Callithrix jacchus: one gene and its partners. The protein of the gene in region 3 interacts with the protein of the main gene of each other region in a pairwise test. Links are inferred from orthologs where the notes say so. Each region holds a gene or a part of one and is shown on either strand. Other genes may lie near its edges. The genes, in order: NDEL1, BFSP2, MBIP, EPB41L3, MCM7, PPFIA1 and RAP1GDS1.

What was found.
Region 1: the proteins of MBIP (region 3) and NDEL1 interact in binary tests that used the Homo sapiens proteins (3 or more experiments, as listed by UniProt). The two-hybrid records come from large-scale screens. The link is inferred for Callithrix jacchus from reciprocal best matches to the Homo sapiens genes MBIP and NDEL1.
Region 2: the proteins of MBIP (region 3) and BFSP2 interact in binary tests that used the Homo sapiens proteins (3 or more experiments, as listed by UniProt). The two-hybrid records come from large-scale screens. The link is inferred for Callithrix jacchus from reciprocal best matches to the Homo sapiens genes MBIP and BFSP2.
Region 4: the proteins of MBIP (region 3) and EPB41L3 interact in a two-hybrid assay, tested with the Homo sapiens proteins (2 studies listed by BioGRID). The two-hybrid records come from large-scale screens. The link is inferred for Callithrix jacchus from reciprocal best matches to the Homo sapiens genes MBIP and EPB41L3.
Region 5: the proteins of MBIP (region 3) and MCM7 interact in binary tests that used the Homo sapiens proteins (3 or more experiments, as listed by UniProt). The two-hybrid records come from large-scale screens. The link is inferred for Callithrix jacchus from reciprocal best matches to the Homo sapiens genes MBIP and MCM7.
Region 6: the proteins of MBIP (region 3) and PPFIA1 interact in binary tests that used the Homo sapiens proteins (3 or more experiments, as listed by UniProt). The two-hybrid records come from large-scale screens. The link is inferred for Callithrix jacchus from reciprocal best matches to the Homo sapiens genes MBIP and PPFIA1.
Region 7: the proteins of MBIP (region 3) and RAP1GDS1 interact in binary tests that used the Homo sapiens proteins (3 or more experiments, as listed by UniProt). The two-hybrid records come from large-scale screens. The link is inferred for Callithrix jacchus from reciprocal best matches to the Homo sapiens genes MBIP and RAP1GDS1.

Annotation. Positions count from the first base shown.
Region 1 is NC_133506.1:74,965,951-74,969,450, reverse strand, and holds part of NDEL1 (nuclear distribution protein nudE-like 1), read right to left. Parts: intron 2,262-3,500; 5' UTR 2,250-2,261; coding exon 2,164-2,249; intron 827-2,163; coding exon 673-826; intron 1-672. UniProt on the Homo sapiens protein: Required for organization of the cellular microtubule array and microtubule anchoring at the centrosome. May regulate microtubule organization at least in part by targeting the microtubule severing protein KATNA1 to the centrosome.
Region 2 is NC_133518.1:50,672,677-50,676,176, forward strand, and holds part of BFSP2 (phakinin), read right to left. Parts: intron 3,247-3,500; coding exon 3,115-3,246; intron 1-3,114.
Region 3 is NC_133509.1:70,910,381-70,914,542, forward strand, and holds the start of MBIP (MAP3K12-binding inhibitory protein 1), read right to left. Parts: upstream 2,801-4,162; 5' UTR 2,782-2,800; coding exon 2,653-2,781; intron 1-2,652. UniProt on the Homo sapiens protein: Inhibits the MAP3K12 activity to induce the activation of the JNK/SAPK pathway. Component of the ATAC complex, a complex with histone acetyltransferase activity on histones H3 and H4.
Region 4 is NC_133514.1:57,672,833-57,676,944, reverse strand, and holds the start of EPB41L3 (band 4.1-like protein 3), read right to left. Parts: upstream 2,801-4,112; 5' UTR 2,716-2,800; intron 1,330-2,715; exon of another isoform or gene 1,190-1,329; intron 1,086-1,189; exon of another isoform or gene 1,034-1,085; intron 1-1,033. UniProt on the Homo sapiens protein: Tumor suppressor that inhibits cell proliferation and promotes apoptosis. Modulates the activity of protein arginine N-methyltransferases, including PRMT3 and PRMT5.
Region 5 is NC_133503.1:13,487,264-13,489,974, forward strand, and holds part of MCM7 (DNA replication licensing factor MCM7), read left to right. Parts: intron 1-139; coding exon 140-289; intron 290-479; coding exon 480-594; intron 595-683; coding exon 684-815; intron 816-1,047; coding exon 1,048-1,131; intron 1,132-1,623; coding exon 1,624-2,017; intron 2,018-2,314; coding exon 2,315-2,398; intron 2,399-2,711. UniProt on the Homo sapiens protein: Acts as a component of the MCM2-7 complex (MCM complex) which is the replicative helicase essential for 'once per cell cycle' DNA replication initiation and elongation in eukaryotic cells.
Region 6 is NC_133511.1:127,208,175-127,212,185, reverse strand, and holds the start of PPFIA1 (liprin-alpha-1), read right to left. Parts: upstream 2,801-4,011; 5' UTR 2,568-2,800; intron 2,343-2,567; exon of another isoform or gene 2,178-2,342; intron 1,873-2,177; exon of another isoform or gene 1,659-1,872; intron 1,341-1,658; coding exon 1,077-1,340; intron 1-1,076. UniProt on the Homo sapiens protein: May regulate the disassembly of focal adhesions. May localize receptor-like tyrosine phosphatases type 2A at specific sites on the plasma membrane, possibly regulating their interaction with the extracellular environment and their association with substrates.
Region 7 is NC_133504.1:99,071,395-99,073,778, forward strand, and holds the end of RAP1GDS1 (rap1 GTPase-GDP dissociation stimulator 1), read right to left. Parts: intron 2,348-2,384; coding exon 2,220-2,347; 3' UTR 501-2,219; downstream 1-500. UniProt on the Homo sapiens protein: Acts as a GEF (guanine nucleotide exchange factor) for the Rho family of small GTP-binding proteins (G proteins) that stimulates the dissociation of GDP to enable subsequent binding of GTP.

The DNA of each region.
Region 1 (3,500 bases), on a different chromosome or scaffold from region 3:
CAGTAACGATCTCTCTGAAAAGTATATTAAAAAAACCCTTGCCTCAAAATCCCCAAACTTGTTGGGGAAACCTCTGGGTTTTCAGGCTAAATGCAGCCATGGGTAAGCAGAGTTCAAATTCCCTACCCTTTACCTTCCCATCCAGCGTTCCCCAAACCCACCTATTCCCCAAACACTAAACACCATCAAACATGTGGCTACAGTAGATGGTGAAGGGCGGAGAAAAGGATTAATCCTTTTGCTCCTAAAAACTCCTTTTTTAGAAGGAAAATCTTTAATCCAAACTAAATTCCAAAACTGAAAGAGCTATGAGCAATAATTAAATAAATCCGTATTTCCTATAAATATAATTGTAAACATACTTCAGAATGAGGTACTCTGTCAAAATAAATAATCAGGCAGCTTTTGAAAAGTATAGGAACTAAAATATAATACAGCTAGAACATTATAGCTAGAAAAGTGATAGCTACAAAGTTTTTAAGTGAACTCCTAAACTCTAAACCACCTTTTCCCTTGGTTCCGTGAAAGAAAACATTTTATTCAAAAATTCACTTTAAGCCTTTTTTTAAAAACCACTTTTTGTCACCTGCTGCTCTTAAGCCCCTGAAAAATATACTTCTCATTTTAATTAAACCCAACACATTAGACACCAGCTTCTACTGCTGCAATTACCTTTAATGCCTCCACTTCATATTTCAGTCTTTGGTTATCAGCCTGCAAGTCTCTATTTCTTTGTTCAGCCTGTACTAATTGTGCCTCCAACTCTGCTTCTAATTCTCTGCTTCCTTCCTGGAATTCAACTAGCTCATCCCGAGCTTCCTGGAAGCTAATCAGAAACAAAGTGGGAAAGATGAGTTATAGTAAGAACCACAAGAATGGTCCTGGAGATGATTACATAGCAATTCAATAATTTTTGCTTGAAAGCTAATGCTCTCATGAAATATACTAAAGACAATCTGTTTTCCATCTCTTACTGTATATATTCAGGGTTCAATGAAAATTACTTACAAGCCCAAAAAGCAGTCACAAGTCAGTGATTACAATATTTATGAAAAGTAAGTCAACATGGTTCAATACCATTAACTTCTTCCACCACAGAACTCAGATGGGGAAAAAATGCATCTTTACTTTTATTAAAGTAACAAATTTGGCATTTCCTTCTACTTTATTCAACAGAAATCACAGATATTTTCATGTCACGACAGTATTGCTGCATCTATCTCTAAATATCACTTATTGTCATGACTATTTCAAAATTAGGTAGTTATTACATTCACTTCTGTATCTTTTTTACTTAATGCATTAATAGAGAAGTACATACTGCTATGCCATAAATTAGATAACTTTTTTTCAATATAGTTGATTTCCTTTGTAATTCTATTATTCTATGCATTTAAAAACATTATGCCGAGAAGTCCATAGGCTACCCCAGCCTATTACAACATCTATGACACAGAAAAAGATTAAGAACCCTGCCATAGATACACACCTTTCATATCCCACCGGCACAACAGAGTAACTGACTTCGGTGATAATAATAAAAGAGGAGTAAAATGTTTGATAAGACTTAGTAAACTCTGTTAACCAAAATAGGAAAATGTGTCAATATTTTATTTAGAAAGATCCCATTTTTTAAAAATTAATTTGAGACAAGTTTTGGTGCAAAAGGTTTTTATCTAAAAGTTCTCCCAACCAAATAATTGAAATTGTATGAAACATTCCATGCCCCTGAAGCTTCTCCCCCTCTCTCAAAGCTTTGCTGGCTCTAGACACTGATCATGCTTGCCTGAGGAGAACGTAATCTGTTCTACGGAGCCCTAGACAGCTTATCAGAATCTCCAAATGACCAAAATGATGAGGCAGAATCAGTGCACGCAAAGCAGGCCAAAGACGGCCTAAAAAGCATAAAGAAAGGAAATGATCAGAAGAAATCATAAATGACAGTTTTCCTCCTATTTTAATAATTTGAACAATATAAAGACTTACAGCATGTTTATACTATTTAAATACAAGCAATGTGGTGACAATTTCTAGAATCTCAATCATAGAATCCTATATCTGCAATTCTAAATTTAACTTTATGTTAAAAAGAAAAATATACAAACAAGACATGGTGCATTTCAAATGCCCTCCCCCTACTTTTAGTGTGCTTTTCAACATTACCTTTGCTTATACTTCAAGGAAAGTTCCTTCCAATAGGCAGTTTCCTCCTTTAAACTTGAAAAATCTGGTATATCTTCACCATCCATGATCAAGAAAGCCTGTGAAACGTTAAAGACAAAGAAATTATAGAACAGAGAAATCTAAGCAAAAGCATAAAATCTGGGACAAGAATAAATTGCAGCATTTTGGGAGTAAAACATGAGAGATTCTAGTGGTCAACTCTCTTGCAACTCAGGCATGTAAGCCACTTCACCGCTCCTCTCAGGGACCATCAATATTGTGAATGAGGTCTTAACAAAGGTTCTTTCATACAAAGCAACATGAGGCACTTTCAGTTGCAGCATAGGTGCTGGGTGACTTGGCTAACAGAATCATGATGCACACAGAGTTCCCGAAGTTGGTTTAAGGCCAAGTGGTCTTCTGGGAATCAGGAGACAGAAACAAGCTGATTGTCAGAGATGCTGCTGCCACATGCATGCCCTTCCCAAGTGTACTATTCCTTTAAAACAGCTGCATGGAACATTTTATGCCAGGTGACCCTACTAGAAAATCAGGCACCACATTCTCAATAATTTACTAAGATCAAATTTCTAAAAACTTCCTGTTAATTATCTTTGAAGTCCAAAGCTTCCTTCCAAAAGGCCACTAATCTCCAACTTCAGTGATTTCTCTTTCATCTTGGTTGTTCTCCCAAGGCATTCAGAGAGGGGGAAAAGCAATTCAACAAACTTCTATTTGGACTAGCTACCTAAAACTCCCAACCGATCATCAGGCTCACTCTAGAGTCATGCCTACAGTTTCCTAGCACCGCCCTTCCCAAGCATCCCACTTTATATTCCAGCACTACTGTTCAAAACTATCTTAACACACCATGCTATTTCAGGTCTGGAAAACCCATTCCAGGTTTTCTCTACCTGGAATTGCTCCCCTTACTAGGAAAACTTCTGTTTATCCTTAAAACCTAGTTGTCGTCTTTTCTAGAGAGGTTTTCTTGCCCTCAATTGGACAGTATTAAAATCTCTTGCACTCTTTGCTACCTCTATACCCTACACACACTTTCACTGATATAATTACCACAGAGCAATGCATTTGCTTACACCTTTTGTGTCACCTGTTAGGTTGACTTATTTAGTTCCGTCTCAGCCCAATGCCTGCACAATAGTGGATACTCTATGATGTTTACTGAATTAAAGCATAATTGATTCAACCTAATCCATACTAGGCAGCAAGAAATTAAGACCAGCTTTAAAAGTAAATTAATAAAATCTGGAGATGCAGAGAACTTGGAGTTTATCGAGCACAAGCCACTCAGGAAGGTTTAGCAAACTTAAAGAAAT
Region 2 (3,500 bases), on a different chromosome or scaffold from region 3:
TAAAGTTCAAATCCAGCTTCTCCACCTAAGTCCCTGACATTCTGGCAGAAAGAGGTAATGCCTGGTTCTCCCGGAGATGCTTGAGCTTGAGTGACTGTGATCAGGTGACTGTTGCAGGCAGTAGCTAGCTCACTCAGCCACACAGACAGTACCAGCAAACAAACTGAAATCACAGAAGCACACTTATTCTGCCAATTTCTCTGGAGATCTGAAGGGACTTTCTTGAATTGCAAAGCCCTCCAGAAAGTAAGAGAGTGACTTTATGTAACTTCTTACCTTGAATTCCATTCCTGATTTAAGTTCAGCAGGCCTCAAGCACCATTATTTGTGCCTACCTTCCAATGCAAATAGTGCCTTATTGGCAAAGGGGATCAAAAGTTTTGCCAGCTCGGTTGTCTGAAGCTTATATAAACTGCGGGGTCCTTGTGAGTGCACAGGTTGCATTGATGGAGAATAATGAGAATGGCTGGATGAACTTTCTGTATTTAAAAACTGTATGAGAGTTTGGTACCTATTTTGTCTCAATCTGTGCTCCTCACCTTGGCTGCAAGGCCTTGTGACCAGAATGATAATGTACCAGAACCAGCAGGGAACTGAGGCAGCCTGTTCTGGGCCATGGGCATAACCAGAATGCCACTACTCTGAAGTTTTCTGGTTGAGGGTGTAAATTCTTTTTCCATTTTTTTCCTCAGTAGTTAGGACAGTGGGTTTAAGTGAGGTGACCAGGTGGCTGGTGGTGCCAACTTGGAGTTAGTATACTAGTAGTTATTACAGCAATTTTATGATAGTTAATAAAAGATGGCATCTATTGACTGCTCACTAAGCACCAGGCACTGTGCTAAGGGCTTGACATACATTATCTGATTAATCATTTCGTTGACGTTATGAGGTAAATTCTATTATGACCCTAAGGTGGATCACACTTCCACTGGCAGCTGCAATTATCTTCACTCCACAATCGCTTCCTCAATGTGACCTTGCCATTATCCCATCAAGAAGTTAATTTCTCTCCCTGTTGAATCTAGGATAGTCTTGTGACTACTTTGACCACTAGAATGTGGTATAAGGGATGTTCAGAGACTTTCAAGCCCCAGTGTGAAGATGCCTGGTAGCTTCTGTGCTCACTCAGGTGCCATATCAGGAGTTTGAGTATGTCAGGCTGTCATGATATGAGGAGGTCCAAGCTAGCTACACGAAGCGGTCACAGGGAGAGAGAAAAAGAGATGCATAACTGAGTAACCAGACATGTTAAGTGAAGAAGCCATTTTTGGGTGTTCCTGCCCTAGCAGAGACCACATGAGACAGAGAAGAGTTATCCCTGCTGAACTCTGCCTAAATCACAGAATGAGAGAACAAATGATTCTCTGTTGTCTTAAGCCACTAAGACAGTAACTAGATATAATAGCCAAAATAGATCCTCACTTTATAAGTGGGAAAATGAAAGCTCTGCTCATTCACAGAGCTAGTGAGTGAGTAGAGCATCCACCATGAAGTCTATATCCTGACTCCCACAGCAGGGGTGATCTCTCCCACCTGCCACCTCCTCATGTTTATATCAGCTCCTCCACTGAAGCTGCATTAACTCCTTGGAGGCTGGGACCATATCTAATTAGTTTTATGTACCCAAAGCACTTGGTACAGTTCCAGGAACATAGCAAGTTCTCAAAGTAATGCTAACAGTAAGAAGAGTGTGTCATGTGCATCCTCACATTGGATCCTCCTAGAAACATTGAGAAGTGGGCTGGACTGTGGCTGTCATACCCATTTTGCAGAAGAGGAAACTGTGGTTCAGGGATTTGCTTATTTACCCAAGGGATAAATGGAGGAACTGAGACCTTCTGACTCTATTACTCTTCATTTTCCTTCCCTCAGATCCTCTGATGTTTTTCTTTTTCTTTCTTTCTTTTTTTTTTTTGAGACGGAGTTTCGCTGTCGTTACCCAGACTGGAGTGCAATGGCATGATCTCAGCTCACTGCAACCTCCGCCTCCTGGGTTCAGGCAATTCTCCTGCCTCAGCCTCCTGAGTAGCTGGGATTACAGGCACGCACCACCATTCCCAGCTAATTTTTGTATTTTTAGTAGAGACGGGGTTTCACCTTGTTGACCAGGATGGTCTCAATCTCTTGACTTTGTGATCCACCCGCCTCAGCCTCCCAAAGTGCTGGGATTATAGGCGTGAGCCACCGCGCCCGGCCCTGATCCTTTTCTTATACATGCTTGTACTGACCTACATCCTATCATGCACTTCATTGACTTCAGACCATTTCAGCTGCACAAGGATTACATGGACAACCCTTTGATCTTCACCAACAAAGCTGTAGTTAGAACAGTGCAAATGGCCTCCTGGAGGGGTTATCTAAGAAGAGCTGTGTTTAACAACCAAATAGAACTTCCATCCATCCCAGAGATCAGAGGGTGGACTGCTTCATTATTAATACATTTTATTGATTATTTTAATCAATGATAATTGGTAATGAAAGAGACATGCTTGCAAATCACAGTGAGTCTGAGAGCTTACTAGATGTTTCAGGTTGGGTTCTCCAGAAGCAGAGCCTGAGATGGGGATCCTGGAACTTGTAAATCATTAAGGAGTAATCTCAGGAAAAGGGGGAGTGAGGAAAGCAGGATAGGGCAGAGACTAAGCAGGAATGCGGTCCCTGGAATCTGGCCACAGCCTGGTCCCATGGAGAGCTCTAGAGCATGGAGCTAGCTTCACTTTGGAGGAAGAAGGCTGGGCTTTTAAAGCCCCCTCTCAGTCACTGGCTGAGGCCTGGGGGCAGGGCATAATCTTCTGGGCCAGGTGTCCTCAGTGTGGGTAAGGGTAAGTCTCAGGAGCAATGGGGCAGCTGAAAAGGGGCAGCTGCAGGTGTCAGCAGCCAACATTCACAGCAGCAGCCTGGTAAGAGAGATGTCCATGGGGCACTACAGTGCCTATTGCACCTGCTGTTATTCAGTATCTGATGATCCTTGGGAGTCAGAAGACATTTCAGGCCTCAAAACTCATATCCTGTGAGATGGGAATCCCCTGCAAACTATGATCCATAATACTGGAATTTGACAGTAGAGAGTTAAAATTAGCATAGGGATGCCAGGTCTTTCCTTGGCCCACTTACCAGGGCACGTAAGGATTCTGTCTCAGCCTGGAGGCTCTGGACTTGGCACGAAGTGTTGTGTAACTCCACCCTGAGGGCAGCTGCCAGCTTCTCCTCCTGGGTCTGGGACATGTGGGTCACCTCCGCCTGTTGCTGTGGAGAGTCAGGTCTCAGTATGAGCAGAGATGATCAGAAGCTGAGCCTGTCCTTCCTTTCCAGCCTTTCTAATCACCACTCACTGCCTCTACCCAGAGGAAACACAGCTGTCACATGGAAACATCTGTTACTTTATTTTATTTTTTTTTTCTGAGATGGAGATCTTGCTCTGTAATCCAGGCTGGAGTGCAGTGGCATGATCTCAGCTCACTGCAACCTCTGCCTCCTGGTTCAAATGATTCTCCTGCATC
Region 3 (4,162 bases):
AGTTATAAAGATGAATCACTGTACAAAGATCAAAAAGATGTAAGGTTACCAATAAAAAGATAATATATTGAATAAACACTATGTGACAGAAATTTACTGCCCTTTTAAGATAAGAACAGAAGAATTTAAAAGTCCATATTAAACAAGTGTAAAGATATATGAAATTTCATGTAGGCTGCACTGGCAAAGATTAGAACATATTAAGACTTTAAAGTTAATGCATTAATTTATATTACTTTAATGCCTATAAAGATTTTGCTACACAACAACCCATATTATGTATGGAAGTAACCCATTAATATACTTTTGTAGTCTTCAAAGAGATCTATACTCGATTATAGAAAACTTATGAATACAGCTTGGGGATAAAGCAGGCAAATCCTCAACCAAAGCAAAGTATCACATTTTTCTAGAGAAAATAACGTATAGAAAAATAAGTCTTAATGTTTGGTTCATATTCTCATTTCAATTCAGCAGAATTATATAAACCTTCAAGTGCAATTAAGAATAATTGGTCTTTTAAGAAAACCACATAATGTCACAAATTAATTATAAAACTATCCTAATTCATCTAACTATTCATTCAAGACATTCATTATTAGTCACATGAATCCTATGCATTTTGCCCTACAGAACTTGGAAGAGTAAACCATTCACTTGAAAATCTCTATTAGTCTGCTATTAATATAGACTATTTAAATATGTAGTTTCATTAACTTTACTAAATTAATACAAAAATCCAAGCTAAAAATAAGTAATTGTTCAGCTTGGTAAGATGGGCCATCCAGAGGCAAGCAAAAAGGTTAAAATTAGTAAATTTTGTGATCTGAAGTAAAAAATTATTTTTAACATTCAGTTTTGTGTTTCCTACTGAGGAGATCTAATAATACAATGATACTTAGGGATGACACAGGATAAGTTAGGTATGTTACAACATACATTTTAAAAATCCTTTAAACTGGTCGCAAAAGAAAATACTGATTTCTCGGGGGGGCAATTTTATAAGTATTGAACTCTGGCTTTCACTCTTAAAAAACATTTCTCAAAATACAGAGTATTTTGAAAGTGGTTTACATTTAATTGATGAAACAATCATATTTTTGACACTTGTGTAGGAGGTCCCTTCACTGTGTCACAGTAAAGTCACCAAATATTTACTGTCAACATTTTTGACAAGTGACATAAGTAAACTGTAATCATTTCTTTAATTGTACTTTACCGTACTTGAATCATTAAAATTTTCTAATGAGTTTGAAAAATTCAGTATGCAAAATATTTCAAAAGAAAAGTTTAAATCATTGCTCAATATTTTTTTTAAATATTCCATCTTCTGTTAATAGGTGAGCATAAACTTTTTTTATCTTGACATTAGAAAATAAACAAGTTCCGACGTCGCCATAAAAAGTTCTCTAACTTTTAAACCATTTAGAGGTTTTGGTTCTTAAGACTACAATGTTAATAACAAAAGACCCCAAGTGTTTAAAAAAATGTTTTTGGTAAGTACTTGGCAAACAATTGAGTTTAAAAGTTGTATCTTTTAGCAGATTTCATTAACAACTGCGTCATTACATAAAACCGCTAAACTTACAGTAATGTTCTTTGTAAGACACAACATACTACGATTTTTAAAACTACTTTAGTAACTTTTTAAAAGACTGATTCTCCATCTACTCAAGGCTTTAAAAAAATAATTTTCACAAATCAGACAAATGTTCTATTTTTATAGGAATTTACCATTGTCTTTGACACAAATGCCTGCTGTGTCCACAGGCACTAGTACCAGCTCCAAAACAAACTTTTACGGCTAGAAAATGGTCTATGTAAGATAGAAAATATTTCCTTTTAATAAGCAGGTGAAGAAGCATAATTTTAAACTGTTTCACATTTAAAATCTGCTTTGAATTTTACACCATGAAACGAAACAGTGACTTGATCACAGAGAATAAGAAGTCCATTTAAATTTAAAACCAATTTTACCACATTTCTGCAAAAGCGATTTATCAGCCAGTTAAACTACGCCCGTTTAATAATAGTTAAATAACGCCCGTTCTATTGCAAACAACATCAAAGAGGGATAACTCATCCAACTTTACGCTAGAAGTATTTTAAATGAATTCCTTTTACTTTCCTCTCCATTTAAAAGGGTAATAGATGCACAAAACAGCCCGAAGGAAAGAAGAAATAAACAAAACCAAGTGACTCATAAGAACAAATTACTCCCTCTAGCCCCTGAAAAAAGCTAATAAGCGCGCTTTTCTATAAATCTCAGGCCTACTGACCAACCAATTCCCGTAATTGAGTAAGTTGGAAGAAAAAGGAGCCTGAGCGCGAGGCGCCTCATAAATCCGCAGTTAAGCTTTTCCACATTCATTCTCTCCAAGTCTGCTCCTCTCGGGGCCGGGTTTTCACTTAAACCATCCTCACCCACTGCTGGGGAGGACAGCTGCAAGGTAAACCACTTGGCAACCGGTACCGCCATCCTCCTCACTCCGACTGAGACGGCTCGGCCCGGGCTCCTCCCCGACCTCGGCTTCAGGGGCCGCACCTCAGACCTTGGCAGGCCTCGCTGCCTCTGGCCTCCGCTAGAGGAAAAGAATGAGGGGGAGAGGCCGGATGGTTTCCATACCCTCAATCCCTGAGGCCACTTCTCACCTGTCCAACCAGGGTGTGCAGGGAGCGAAAGATTTCGCAGAGCACCTCTCGGGAGAGGCTGGGGCTGCATCTTCGCTCCACATTCCTGTCACCGCTACTCGGGCGAGTAAGCTCCGTGGCAGCAGCCATGACACCTTCTCAGGCCGCCAAGGATTGCTCACAGCCCCGCCCCCTCCCTTTTCCGCTTTAGTCGCTCGGTGATGACGTACGACACGGCGTCTCGTTTATATCCGGGCTTTGAGGCTCCACCCTCTGTATGTGACTGACAAGCACGTACACCAATCAGTTGCAGCTGTGGCATTGCCCCGAAGCTCTGAAGTGAATTGCAGACCAAAGCTAGGCTAGAATGCTGTCTTTGGGGTGGTCATTAGAGTCGTGGTCTCTTAAGGGTTAGCATCATGAAGCTTACCTTGACTCCTGGATGTTCCTTGTGAATGTTGGTAGTAGGGGACTATGTGAAACACTGTCAGTATCATTCCAACAGGAATTTAACCTGGATAAATAATATGCAACCACAATCTTTGAAATTAGAAGGACATAAAACCGAATTGAAACTTTACAAAGTATTATATAACTTTATTATAAAGATACTTGTGGGGTTTTGCAATCTTTTCTTTTTTTTTTTTTTAATATTTTATTGCATTTTAGGTTTTGGGGTACATGTGCAGAACGTGAAAGACAGTTGCATAGGTACACACATGGCAGTGTGTGTTGCTTCCTTTCTCCCCTTCACCCACATTTGGCATTTCTCTCCAGGCTATCCCTCCCCAGCTTCCACCCCCACCCCCGTGCTGGGCCTACACTTTTCCCCCCAATAGACCCCAGTGTTTAGTACTCCCCTCCCTGTGTCCATGTGTTCTCATTTTTCATCACCCGTCTATGAGTGAGAATATGCGGTATTTCATTTTCTGTTCTTGTGTCAGTTTGCTGAGAATGATGTTCTCCAGATTCATCCATGTCCCTACAAACGACACAAACTCATCATTTCTGATTGCTGCATAATATTCCATAGTGTATATGTGCCACATTTTTCCAATCCAGTCTATTATCAATGGGCATTTGGGTTGATTCCAGGTCTTTGCTATTGTAAACAGTGCTGCAATGAACATTCGTGTGCATGTGTCCTTATAGTAGAACGATTTATAGTCCTTTGGATATATACCCAGTAATGGGATTGCTGGGTCAATTGGAATTTTTATTTCTAAAGCCTTGAGGAATCACCACACTGTCTTCCACAATGGTTGAACTAATTTACACTCCCACCAAAGGTGTAAAAGTGTTCCTGTTTCTCCACATCCTCTCCAGCATCTGTTGTCTCCAAATGTTTTAATGATCGCCATTCTAACTGGCGTGAGATGGTATCTCAATGTGGTTTTGATTTGCATCTCTCTGATGACCAGTGACCATGAGCATTTTTTCATATGATTGTTGGCTTCATATATGTCTTCTTTTGTAAAGTGTCTGTTCATATCCTTTGCCCATTTTTGAATGGGCTTGTTTGTTTTTTTCC
Region 4 (4,112 bases), on a different chromosome or scaffold from region 3:
ACACCATTGCACTTCAGCCTGGGTGACAGAGCGGCACTCCACCTCAAAAAACAACCACCAAAAAAAAGAACTCTCTATCTTTATATAGTCAAATTCTCACAGAAAGGAAACATTTATTTTTCAGTCTACTCTTGGAGTTCTATTTTACTGGACAGGATATGAATTCTAATTTGTGAATTTTAGGGAAAGCACTAACTTAAAAAATGAATGCACATCATACAACATGGAAGAAAACACTTTCATAGCAAGTTCCTGCCACACTTAATCCAATATACTATAACAAGTCCAGAAAAGAGTCACAAGATGATAATAGCATCACATCTCTCTGTACATGGATAGTTGCCTCTCTTCTACTTAGGTGCCCCCCTAATGCATTTGACCAAATAGTTTTTAAAAAAACAATTATAAATAAAATTGCATCCAATCAAGTTAAAAAAAAATCCTGATCTTGTATTTCAACACAAAGTTAGCCAAAGTCCAAGCACTGCACATGAATTGATTAAAAAAATTGCTTTTAACCTAAGTCGTATTTATGCAGAAATGTGCTAAAAAATAAATGTAAATATTTCACTGAGACACTGACATTTGACCTATAGCAACTGAATCCTTCACCTAAAAGAGGTTTAAAAATTCAAGTGGCTACTCTTCTTGTTATGGATGAATTATTCACAAAAAAATGTTCTGTTTTGAAAAACTTATTTTGACTAAAGTGTATTCACTAAATAAACTTTATGCCGTAAGTTACGCATCTGATATTTTGCTTTTCTAAACTACCAGAAAATCAAAATGCAAATTAGACAGTATTAAGCATTCAGCCAGCTAGCAAGGCTTCACGAATTAACAAACTGAAGTCACACTTCTCCAATTTAGAATTTATTCCCTCTCACATTAATTTTGTTACTCTAAAGGTTTTTAAGTTTGATACCAAAATTAACATGCATTTTTTAAACACCCTCTCTGAGCCAAGACAGAAATCACCTCTCAGTCCCCAGAGTTCACTGGAGCTTAATGTGCTGTTCTCTTTTCTTAATAGGGCTTTTCTGCTTAATTTGCTCTAATTGAGACTACATCCATGGCTCACAGATGTAAGTAGAATTTCATCATTTTTGTTTCCTTGTGACATTAAAAATCAGGGTAAATTTCAAAAATAATGCTTTTAGCACTTGGTGTGATGCTTTCTGTACTACAGAAGTTAATGCTACCAAGAGAAACTCCAGCATACCTGACCGCCTCAGAGAGCCTAAAATTCCCACTCCCCACCATCCTCCAAAAAAAGGACAGGCAGGATATCTGCAAAAGCAATTTCGCAGGACTAATGTAAAGAAGCTGAAACAACTTAAACACGCAATAGAAGCACTGCATTAGAGGGCCATGCCTGGCCCTCTCAGGACCTCCCAGCCCAACCTCCACAAGTAATTAATACCACATGTTTCCTTTATCATTCTATTTGGTCTGTTCTGCAACAATCTCTACCAACTTTAACCCTGGACTGCAACTAAAGGAAAACCCTAGGAAACTTCAGATCCGTAATATAAAAAGAAAATTGAAGAATACTCTCATTGCAAGGGACCATAGTTACAATTTACTAGGTAACCACACCCACCGCATTGCAGAAGCCCTGAACTTGGCGGGTGTGTGACTGGGAAGGGGAAGAAGTCGGGCAAGACTACAGGGGAAACCCGAATAACCAAGCCCCTGCGGCAGCAGCCAGGAAACACTCGCCAGGAACTGACTGAAACCCCCAACTCCAGCGGTCCGAAGTCCCAGCCTCCCCACCCCCACCGCCGCAGAGCCGCCTTCGCAGACACCTCCCCTGACGAATCGCAGCCCCGTAGGCACCAGGTGAGTCGCGCTGCCCCGAGTCCCCCGGCCACCGCAGGCCGACCCGTGCGCCCCCGGCCAGCCTGCGGTCACGCGCCCGGGTGCCAGCGGCGAGGGGGCCCTGCAGGTGCCCAAGCCCCAAGCAACCCCGCTCGGACATTCCCTCCTCTTCCCCCACAGACCCGGCCGTGCCCCGTCGCGGGAGGGGGCAGCTGCCCCAGATTGGGGAAAGAGGCAAGTTACATAAAAGCGGCCGGCCCCGCTGCCCAGCGGGGATGCTTTGTGCCAAGCGCACCTTACCGGCCCCGAGCCGCACCCGCCCGCGCTTGCACCCGGGACTAGCCCGCAGCCGCCGCGCGCTGGGCGCAAGGCCCCTCCCATGGCCCGCCAGCCTCCACCCGCCCGGGCGGCGCCTCAGTGTCGCCCCCCCACCCCTCACCTCTCCGCGGGAGGGGCTGGCCCGCGCTGGCCCCCAGCCCAAGGGGCAACTTAAAACATGGCGCCCCGGGCGGGGGATTTGCGCAAATTGACGGAGAAGGGACAAGGGGACGGAGTCGCGCCCTCGGCCAAGGATCCCAGGGAGGCCCCCAGGCCGGAGGCCGGGGCTCACGCTCCGCTCGCCGGCCCAGCCGCTGCTGCAGCGCGGCGGACGGAGCGGGCGCTGGGCGCGGCGCATAGGCTCGGCCCGGCTGGGGTCCCGGCGAGCGGGAGGGCGGGTAGGGACCCCGGCCAAACCGGGCGCGGGGCTCGGGATTCGGGAGACCGCGCGGCGCCGGAGCCACGCGACAGCCACACAACCCCGCGCGCCTCGCTCCAGGCCTCGGGCTCTTCCTCCGTACCTCGTAAAGCCGAGACCCCCTCGCAGTCCCCCACTCCGGGAGACGGAAAAGTTACCTGAAATCGGCGGGGAGCCCGGGCGCGCCGCGGCGTGGGGACCAGGCTCGGGCGCGCGTCCTCGGCGGCGGTGCGCAGGAGACTCGGGCGTGGGGAGGAAGCCGCAGCCCAGGGCTGCTCGCCGCGGCTCCCCCCGCCCCCTGTTGCAGGAGACACCGAGGCTCCGCGGAGCTGCGGCGGGGGCCCACGCCCAGAGACCGTGCGAGGAAAGCCAACCTCGTCCTGCCTGCCCTCCCAGCCGCGGGGGAGGGGGGCACCGCAGTACTTCAGGACAGTTATATGGGCACAGCCTCCTCCTTCCTGGCGCGGGGTCAGGCTCCGTGGACGACGCCGGGAGACAGCTGCCAATGCCTATAGCTTTAGCCCTTGATTCCCACTTAGATGATGGCCCGGCCTTTCCAGCCCCCGTCCCCTCCCAAACACCCCCTGTGAGAAAGGAGGGAGGGGGGTTGTTCCTGACCTTCAGGTGAGTTATTTATTGGCTAGGGACTGCAGTATTTTTTTTTTCTTTTTGGAAAGAAAAAAAAAATCAAGTTGGTGGTGTCTTGAAGTAATGTTAACAGAGAAGATCTGAATTAATGGTTGATAAGGGAAGTCCCCATCTTTCCGCAGGTCGGCTACTTGGTCCTCCCCAGTGTTTGTAAAGCTTTCCACTGAAATAGAGAGGATTTCAGTGATTTGTAAGTGAAAGAAGTAATTCCTGGTCCTGGTGGTCTCACAATATCTGAAGATCTAACCAAGTAACCAAGACATTTAAGAAATATTTTTATGGGCACAAAAATTAGAATGAATAAGATACAGTATTTGATAGCACAACAGGGTAACTATAGTCAAAATAATATAATTGTACATTTGAAAATAACAAAGTATAGTTGGATTGTTTATAACACAAAGAATAAATGCTTGAAGGATAGATTCCCTGTCTTCCATGTGATTATTGTGCATTGCATGCCTGTATCAAAACATCTCATATGCCCCATAAATATATATACATACTATGTACCCTCAAAAATTACAAAACATTATTTTTTAATTTTTAAAATAAATTTTATGTGTATTTAAGGCATACAATATAAGATACATATATAGTAAAATGGGTATTATAATGGAACAAATTAGCATATCTATCATCTCACATAGTTACGCATTTCCCCCAACAACCCTCTACTTGTGGCAAGGGTAGCTGTAATACATTCATTTAGCGAAATCGTGAATATAAGACACTATTCTTAGCTATAGTCCTCGTGTTGTACTTTAGATCCTTATTACGTTGTACATTAATATTTTTTTTAATGGAGCCTTCTTCAAATCATCCAGTCACCCCTCAGGAACTTAGGGACTCATTAAAAGAGGTAAAAAATGGATTCACAAAAATAATGCATTTACTGGGTGCCAAA
Region 5 (2,711 bases), on a different chromosome or scaffold from region 3:
AGAAAGGCAGTCTCAGCTTCCGTCCTGTGGGCTTATCTGTGGCTGGGCAGGCAGGGAGTCTTGGCGTGGGATGCCTAGGGAGGGAAGGTTGGGTCCTTGTTTATTTCTCCTGAGCCTTATGTGCTCTTCCCTCCCCTAGAGTGACCAAGTACCCGTGGGAAATATCCCTCGTAGTATCACAGTGCTGGTAGAAGGAGAGAACACAAGGATCGCCCAGCCTGGAGACCATGTCAGTGTCACTGGTATCTTCCTGCCAGTCTTGCGCACTGGGTTCCGACAGGTGGTACAGGTAAGGAAGGGAGTTTGATATGAGGAACAGATCATCCCATTTCCCCTCACCCACTGTACCCATACAGAGAAAAGTGAGTAGCAAAGCACCAAACAAAACAACACAGTGCTTTATCAAGAAATTGTTAGGGAATCTGGTGATGGGTAAGTTCTAAGGATTGCATCTGTATCCTGACATTTTCCTGCCTAAGGGTTTACTCTCAGAAACCTACCTGGAAGCCCATCGGATTGTGAAGATGAACAAGAGTGAGGATGATGAGTCTGGGGCTGGAGAGCTCAGCAGGGAGGAGCTGAGGCAGATTGCAGGTGATGCTCAGGAGAGAGAGGAAATTCCGTTTACATCCTACCCCCCCATTTTCCCCCACAAAATACCTTAACCTTAAAATTCTCCACAGAGGAGGATTTTTACGAAAAGCTGGCAGCTTCAATTGCCCCAGAGATATATGGGCATGAAGATGTGAAGAAGGCACTGCTGCTCCTGCTAGTGGGGGGTGTGGACCAGTCTCCTCGAGGCATGAAAATCAGGGGTAAGAAGAAAAAAGGGCAAGGCTCAGGGTAGATGAAGTCATTTGGGAGGAAAAAAGGATGACAAGTGTCCCCATAGGTCACAGTATAAGAGTGGGCGTCTTCGATTCATGGACACAGGGAGGGCTTAGAAGTAATGCTAGGTGTTGGGGGAGGCAGAATTCAAAATTGCTCTGCTGTTGGCCAACTTGCACTGGGAGAAGAGTCATTCCTGGGCTGCCTGTCTTCCTCTAGGCAACATCAACATCTGTCTGATGGGGGATCCTGGTGTGGCCAAGTCTCAGCTTCTGTCATATATCGATCGCCTGGCCCCCCGCAGTAAGTAGTTGGACTTTGAGAGGGGTGAACATAGTGACAGACAGGACCACAGGGTTTATTCAAAAAGTGGGGGTGCATAGTGGCTTACACCTGTAATCTCAGTGCTCTCAGGCTGAGACAGGAGAATCATTTGGGGCCAAGAGTTTGAGACCAGCCTGGGCACCATAGTGAGACCCCGTCTCTACTAAAAAGGGCTTTTTTTTATTATTATTATTTTTGTTTGTTTGTTTTTGTTTTGAGACAGTCTCACTTTGTCGCCCAGGCTGGAGTACAGTGGCGTGGTCTCAGCTCACTGCAACCTCCACCTGCTGAATTCAAGTGATTCTCCTGCCTCAGCGCCCCACAGAACCTTGGGCATCCCGGGGAAGGCCTGGGGCAGGTGGAACAATCCCAGCGCAGCCCCCCCTCTCTGGCTCATTTCTTGTCTTTTGCTTGCTCTCTCTCTCGTTCCTTTCTATCTCCTAACATGGCTCCTTATTTCTTCTCTTCCAGGCCAGTACACAACAGGCCGGGGCTCCTCAGGAGTGGGACTTACAGCAGCTGTGCTGAGAGACTCCGTGAGTGGAGAACTGACTTTAGAGGGTGGAGCCCTGGTGCTGGCTGACCAGGGCGTGTGCTGCATTGATGAGTTTGACAAGATGGCTGAGGCCGACCGAACAGCCATCCACGAGGTCATGGAACAGCAGACCATTTCTATCGCCAAGGCTGGCATCCTCACCACACTCAATGCCCGCTGCTCTATCCTGGCTGCTGCCAACCCTGCCTATGGTCGATACAACCCTCGCCGCAGCCTGGAGCAGAACATACAGCTGCCTGCTGCACTGCTTTCCCGGTTTGACCTCCTCTGGCTGATTCAGGACCGGCCTGACCGTGACAATGACCTACGGTGAATGAAGCTCAACACCCAAAGAGAGGTCCCCTGTAATGATCTGTGGCAGGGGCCGGGGGTGAATCAAAATAAATACCCAGCTCCTGGAAATCCCAGAACCTCCTCCTTGTGTCAGGGACTGGTCCAAGGTTCTCAGGAAAATGGTGGGTTGGGGCTGAAATGCTAATGAGGATTTCCCAGGAAAGCTTGTTCCTGCTATACCATGAGATGGGTGGAGCCAAGGGAGGGATACCTAAGAGGACATGGGTATGTAGCCCTATAAAGGGTGTTCCTCCTCACCTCCCCTCTATCCAGGTTGGCCCAGCACATCACCTATGTGCACCAGCACAGCCGGCAGCCCCCCTCCCAGTTTGAACCTCTGGACATGAAGCTCATGAGGTAGGAGAGCTGGGTGCAGATGGGCACACATTGTCAGCATGGGCCATGCAAGCCTCCTCAAAAGGCTTTAGTCTTAGGGTATTTTCACACCACCACTTCCTGCTTCTGACACGTCCAGAGCCTGAAAATAGTCAGGGTCCCCCTGGAGCCTGGTCAAATGAGAATAACTTTTAAGTGGAAAACTCCACACTTCATGTGAAAGGGACACAGGAAACTTTTGCTTCCTATACACAAATTTTTTTGGTTTTTGAAACAGAGTTGCTCTGCCGCCAGGCTGGAGTGCAGTGGCGTCGTCTTGGCTCACCGCAACCTC
Region 6 (4,011 bases), on a different chromosome or scaffold from region 3:
GGCACCGCGAAGGCACCTGTGGTAAGTGACATGGCACCTAGAGGGCTCTGAACCACCTAAGTAACCCACTTCTCTCCTACTGTGCTCCGCGCCACTCACCTCACACTTTTCTAGTTTTTACCCCTCCTCCGTTTACCTACCACTAATTCATCCTCATTCAACTCCATGAGCAAAGTCTTTCAAACACTGGTCCAAATGTTATATACTCAGAGAAACAATTTCAGTTGTTCTAAGCTTTAAAAACCTTTTTTTTTTTTTTTTTTTTTTGAGACAGTGAAACAGTGTCTAGCTCTGTCACCCAGGTTGGAAAGCAGTGGTGCAATCTTGGCTCACTGCAACCTCCTCCTCCCGGGTTCAAGTAATTCTCATGCCTCAGCTCGAGAATAGCTGGGACTACAGGTGTGTGCCATCATGCTCCACTAATTTTTGTGTTTTTGGTTTTGCCATGCTGGCCAGGCTGGTCTCGAACTCCTGATTTCAGGTGATCCACCTGCTTCGGTCTCCCAGAGTGCTGGGATTACAGACATGAGCCACCACATTCGGCCTAAGCTTTAAAATTCTCATCTGCCAAGGAAAAAGTTTCTAAGGGAATCAATTTCCAGTCTTCTATCCCCTAAAACAAATGTGACTTACAAAAACCTAGGTGTTCTGAAAAAGGTGGGCTATCAAAATATTTTTTTCTGTGAAATCAATCCTATTTGTCCATGAAATTTCATTAGGAAATTGGAAATACATGAGAGACACAATCCGTGGGAAGAACAAGTCTAGGAAGAAAAGGCTAAGACAACAGAACAGAGGCACCGTATAGATTGCGGCTTCAGAGCCGTTTTTCAACAACTCTGGAGAACGAACTTCCTGAACCCAGGCAGTTCCCAAAGACAGGAATGAAAATAATGAGGTCTTTTCACAGGACTTTAGAGTACAACAGTTTGTTCTCCCTAAGAGGTTTAATCCCTAGGAACTTTGTATTTGACTTACAAACACCAGAAACCATCATTTCACAAATGGTTACGGAAAATGCTCATCTGAAACATTAACAAAGCATCTATAGAGTTCCAGGTTAAAAGCACTCATACCTGCGGAAGTGCCGTGTTGAGCTGTCTCTGCAAGGAATCTCTTTCATGACCAACCTCGTGTAACTTCCCCTGGGTTAATGCCAGCGTTTCTTGAGTCTCTCTCAGTGTGTCAAGAAGACGGTCCCTTTCTTCTAGCATGGAGACCATCAACTGTTCGAAATGTGAATCTGTGTCCGGCTGTGAAGGGGAGCCAGACCCATGGCTTCCGCTTCCTCCAGGGGGACCTTCTGCTTCGCTGATGGTCGGCATCACCTCGCACATCATCTGGAAATCAAGGCCCCAAGCTACGGTCACTAAGTGCGAATACAGGTTCCCACAGTATCTGTAGCTAAAAAGATGGGCAGCCGCATTATTCTCAGAACTGGTATGCTTTGTATGTAAAGAAGCTGAGAACATACACACACGGGGCAAATATTAAGTGCAGAAATACACGACATGAAGACATCAACACGGACAAAAACCCAGGGAGGGAGTCAGGATCCCAGAGGACTGCCCTAACAGCAACAACAAAAAAGGCAAACCCTGGGGTGGTCTTTTAGCAAAGCTGTACGTTTTCGTGGAAAACAAGTGTGCTTCTGTTACCTGTTTTTTCTACTTCCCAGTGGGGGGAGAGAAAGTCAAAACACATGTCACCCAATCATTTTTCAGGAAAAGCACAGAAGGAGCACACAGCCAACAAAACTGACAAGTACAAAATCCATCAGGCATCTTGCAGGAATGTGTGCGGTCAGCTCCCGGGAAGAACGGCCGGCTCCCTGAATTCTTGGGCTGGATTCGGTGAGCACTAAAAAGAACTGAATTCGTTACACGCTGGTAGAAGTGTTTTTCAACGGCTGCAACGGTTGGTCAGTCAACCTAACTTACGTAAGTTTACAACCGGAAAAAAAAAAAAAAAAAAAATTCCACAATGGAAATATAGCAGGTCGATACAGCCCGGGGCGGCTAGGAAAGAAGGAAAAGTGAAAGGTGAGATTATGAGAGACTATTAAGTGTCTGGAATCTAAAGACGGCGGGAGGGGAACGGGAAGTCGCTTCTGAGCCTTAAGGCAAGTATTCGGGGTGCGGTGGACCCCCGAGAGGAGGATGCCCAAGACCGCGCACCTGATGCGGATGGTTACCTCCAGCCTGCTCGCGCCCGCACTCCTTCCCCTCCTGTAGCAGATGCGGCGGGAGCCCAGGACCCCGGGGGTGAGGACCGTTGACAGCAGAGCCCGCCCGGGCCGGGGCTTTCAGCGGCCGCAGGTCCCCGCCCCTCGCCCCAGCGCCAGGGTCACGGGGCGCGGGGCTCGGGCAGGGGCGTCACGCAGCCCCCGGAGCCGTCCCTCGGGGCGCGGGGGTCCCGCCGGAGCTCCCCTACCGCCTCGCCCCCGCCCGCCCCGGAGCGCACCCTTCCCCGCCAAGACATCCAATCGGCTGCGCGGCCGCCGCGGGGATCGGGACCCGCCGGGAACGCCTGGGCCCCGGGTCTGCCTCAGTGTCCCGCTCCCTTACCTTGCTCGCCGGCGGGAGCGGACGAGGAGGCTCTGCGGCGGCTCGCGGGCGGCTGCTCGCTCCAGGCGAGCTTGAGAACAGACGAAGGCAGCCCGCGGCCGGCGTCAGCCTGCCCGCCCCACGCCGCGGCCCCGGGGCCCGCCGCCCCAGTCACTAAGGCCGGCCCGCGGCCGGACACTGGCGGAGCGGAGGAGGAGCGGGCCCGGCTGCGCGGCGCCGGCGTCAACGTGCCCGACGTCGGGCGCGTCGGCGCGAGCGTCAGCACTGCCCCGGGGGCGGGGCCCGAGGAGCTCTGCGGCCCGAGTGCGCAAGTGCCGTCTCCTCAGGAGGGGGCGGCCGGCGGCTTCAGGGCGCTGATTGGCTGAACGTGACGGAGCCCCGCCCTTCCATTCCACGCCCAGGTTGGGGGCGGCGTCCCCGGGATGAGCCACAGGTGGGAGCTCAGGTGCTCGCGGGGTCCCCAGTCTCCTCCCACAGCTGCAGGTACAGCGGAGGCCTCTGCCGAGCGTCAGTCCGCCGCGCCTCGGGTTCTGAGCCGGACCAGTCCGGCACGTCAGGTCCCTCCCGAGCTGGAGGCTCTGGATTCCCATCTTGCGGCAGAGCGAGCCAAGGCTTCAGCCACCGCCTGGGGCCCCGACTGCGCCCTCCGCGTCGCTCCCAGAGTCTCCCCGGGCCTGATCTGGGTTCAGAAGGACGCGCTTCCCTCCAGGACCCACTTACTGAGCGCTGCCTGCCGCACCTGGGGACGCCCCGGCGCAGCGTCCAGCGGGCAGACTTTGCCGCTGTGGTTTCACACTGCAGCGAGGGCCCGGTGGGTCCGGGCGACTCGGGAAACACGCCTGGGCTTCAGCGCCTCCGATGTGGGATGGGAAAATGATGGAGACCTACCTGCCAGGCTGCTTTAAGATGTCAATCAGATGTAAAGAGCGACTGGTTGAGAAGCTGACGGGCAGCACTGCACGAGGCTTGGTCATTTGATCTTTTCCGCAAGCATTTTTAAACACCTACCATGGGCCAGGTCCTGTGCTGGATGTTGCAGACACGGAGATGAATAGAGACGCCGCTAATAAATTTAGTAAATTAAAGCGGATGCTCTCCCGATCTTCCCAGAATTTGACTCGAGCGCTGGTCTTCACAAACCAACATGTCAGGAGACCATCGCCGGTCTCCACTGACCACTGCTGTTGGTGTGAGGCAGCCAAGAGCCCCTCAGAACGAATCAAGTCTGAGAACAGGCTGCATAGGGGCTAGGAGAGGGAAACGTGAGCCCGTCCAAGGTGAATTCCCTGATTCCACCTTGTGAACGCACGGAGAACAAGCACTACCTCCGACTAACTTTCTCACCTACCAGGGTCTGGTACACCTGCCATTAATTTATTCATTCATTCGATAAATATTTATTGACTGACTACATGTAAACATGAATTTGTGCTTTTTGCCCCTA
Region 7 (2,384 bases), on a different chromosome or scaffold from region 3:
GCAAACTAATTTAACAGTGCCCTCTACAACTACGATTAGGTGGCAGGAGATAGGGGATAGTACAGTCTATAGACTCTTCCATTCACTGCAATGGCACATCAGTGTACCATCTAATTTGGTGGCCCCTGTGATAAGGGGACAGGTCTCTCTGTAGAATGATTAGTAATTTGAACTGCACTTTATTTTGCTGGAGATGGGAGTTCCTAACATATTAGCAAATTGATGGCTGGCAGCTGGCCCAGATGGGTAACTTCTCTCACATCTATGATTTTAGGATGCTTTTGTTAAAATTTTTTCCCTAAAGTCAGACAAACTATCAAATCTCAAACTCTCTATCAGTCAGTCTATCTTTCTGGAATTAGTTCAGGCAGGCTGGAAACTTCATGGATATAGGATTCATTCATTCAGTCAATAAATATTTGTTGAGCATCAATAGGAATCCCTATTCTACGAGTAGGAAATATAGACAAAATATACAAACAAACCAAATGATGCCATTATAGCTTGATATACTATTTATTTATTAAGTTAATATATGAACAGTTATGCAACATTAGTCTTTCAAAGCCTATATTAAAATATAGTCCACTATCCAGCCCAGGAGAAAGACAACAAATAATATCATTCTTATAGTAGTAAGTGTAGCAGAACATTGGTCAAGATTCTTTACCTCCATTAGAATTTTTATTTTTTATTTTTATATTTCTCCATCAGGATTTTAACTTACTTGAATTATAGGTGTTTTAGATCCAAAAGTCCAACTTGGATTACCCACAGAGAAGTGTAGCATCTCCTGTTAAAGAGGAAGGAGCTCCTGTCACCTCCGTGGCAGCCCTTTCTACTGTCCTGCAGTCCTTCTATATTAAAGTCCATCTTGCCTCTTAGGGCAGTAGCAGTCAAATTTGGGTATGAGGAGAAAGGCAGGTGGGTCACAGGGAAGTTTTGATTAATTTACAAAGATTGTGTCTCAAAGCTCTAAAAACACATTTGGTGGTGGTAGTGGCAGTGAAAAGTATACTATATTTCACCATGGGGGGTCTTCTCATCTCTTGAATCTTGGCTTTCTCATAACCTTTAAAATTGCTGTGGTTCTCAGTGGGAAAGTGGAAGAGGGAAACTCTAACAGCAATTGGTATGAGGCTATCTGCAGAATGAACTGGACTGGCTACCATGGCTTTTATAACCTGCCCTCCTTTCTTTAGTCCAGAGAAACTTATTTCCTCATCCTTCCTTCTATGTCCTGCAAGTTTTAACATAAGATTTAAAAGGACTATGGAAGATAAAACTTCTCACTGTCTAGCTGAATAATGAAAATCAGCAAAAAAAAAAAAAAAAAAAAAATCCATTCTTAAATGAACTATATAGTCAATTTACTCAGTTGAAAACAAATGCCAAATGAGTTTACAGACAAGTGCTGGACAATGTTGATTAACTGGTAGAAGTAGTTCCTGGGTGAAACAGCATATGTATCAGAAACTAAAATACAGGCAAAATGCAAATGCTTTATAATAGGGATTGTAATAGCGATTCTTCAACCCCTTAGTTTCACACCGAAAACTACAAATGTCTTTCAATATTGGGCTATTGATGATAGTCAATTAAATATGAAATCAGAAACCTCAGAAAGCCTTGCCAAGTCTGTGGTGGCAGTTTCAATAGTCTACAAAGGAAAAAGGAGAAACCATAGGTTAAAGAGTAAGAGCACTGGAATTTTATTTAACTCTAGGTACCATCAATTTGACATTAGTAGGAAAGACTAATGAATAAGTAGCCATACAGCTTTTTTTGTTCACTGTGCTTCCCAAGCACCAAAAAATTGAGCTATTTTTCCTACTCAGTTTCCTCTTAAATAAGCTAGACAGATCCTGCTGCAATGTTTCTAGTTTACCAGTACATCATTATGTAGTTTACTGCATGTGTGGAGCAAGTCATTATGTAGTACCAAGTTTACGTCATCATAGGACTACAACATGCACATTCTACTTAATGTAGCTCAAGCAACAGGAATACAAGAGAACAGTTATGGGTGGAGACTTGCCTTTGACAAAGTCATGTTCACACTAACTATGGGTTTAGAAATCTTATTAGGCAAATACCTACAGCAGTTCTTCAACTGGTATTAGAACATTACATGCATGCACAAGTGGTATGGTAGAGAATGAAGTGGAAGAGGCAGCTGGATGGAGGACGGAGGGATGATGCCGTGTGTCGGGCAGTTCTCAGCTTTCCACAGTAAGTCTCTGCTCTGTGAGAGAGGCCTGCTGGGCAACACTTTTGTTCTCATGACTGCGAAGTTTGGATACAACATCTAGAAAGGCCAAATCCTGTACTTCCTTATGTAGAGATTCTGGAAGACAAAAAAATAACAGATATGATTCTGTTAG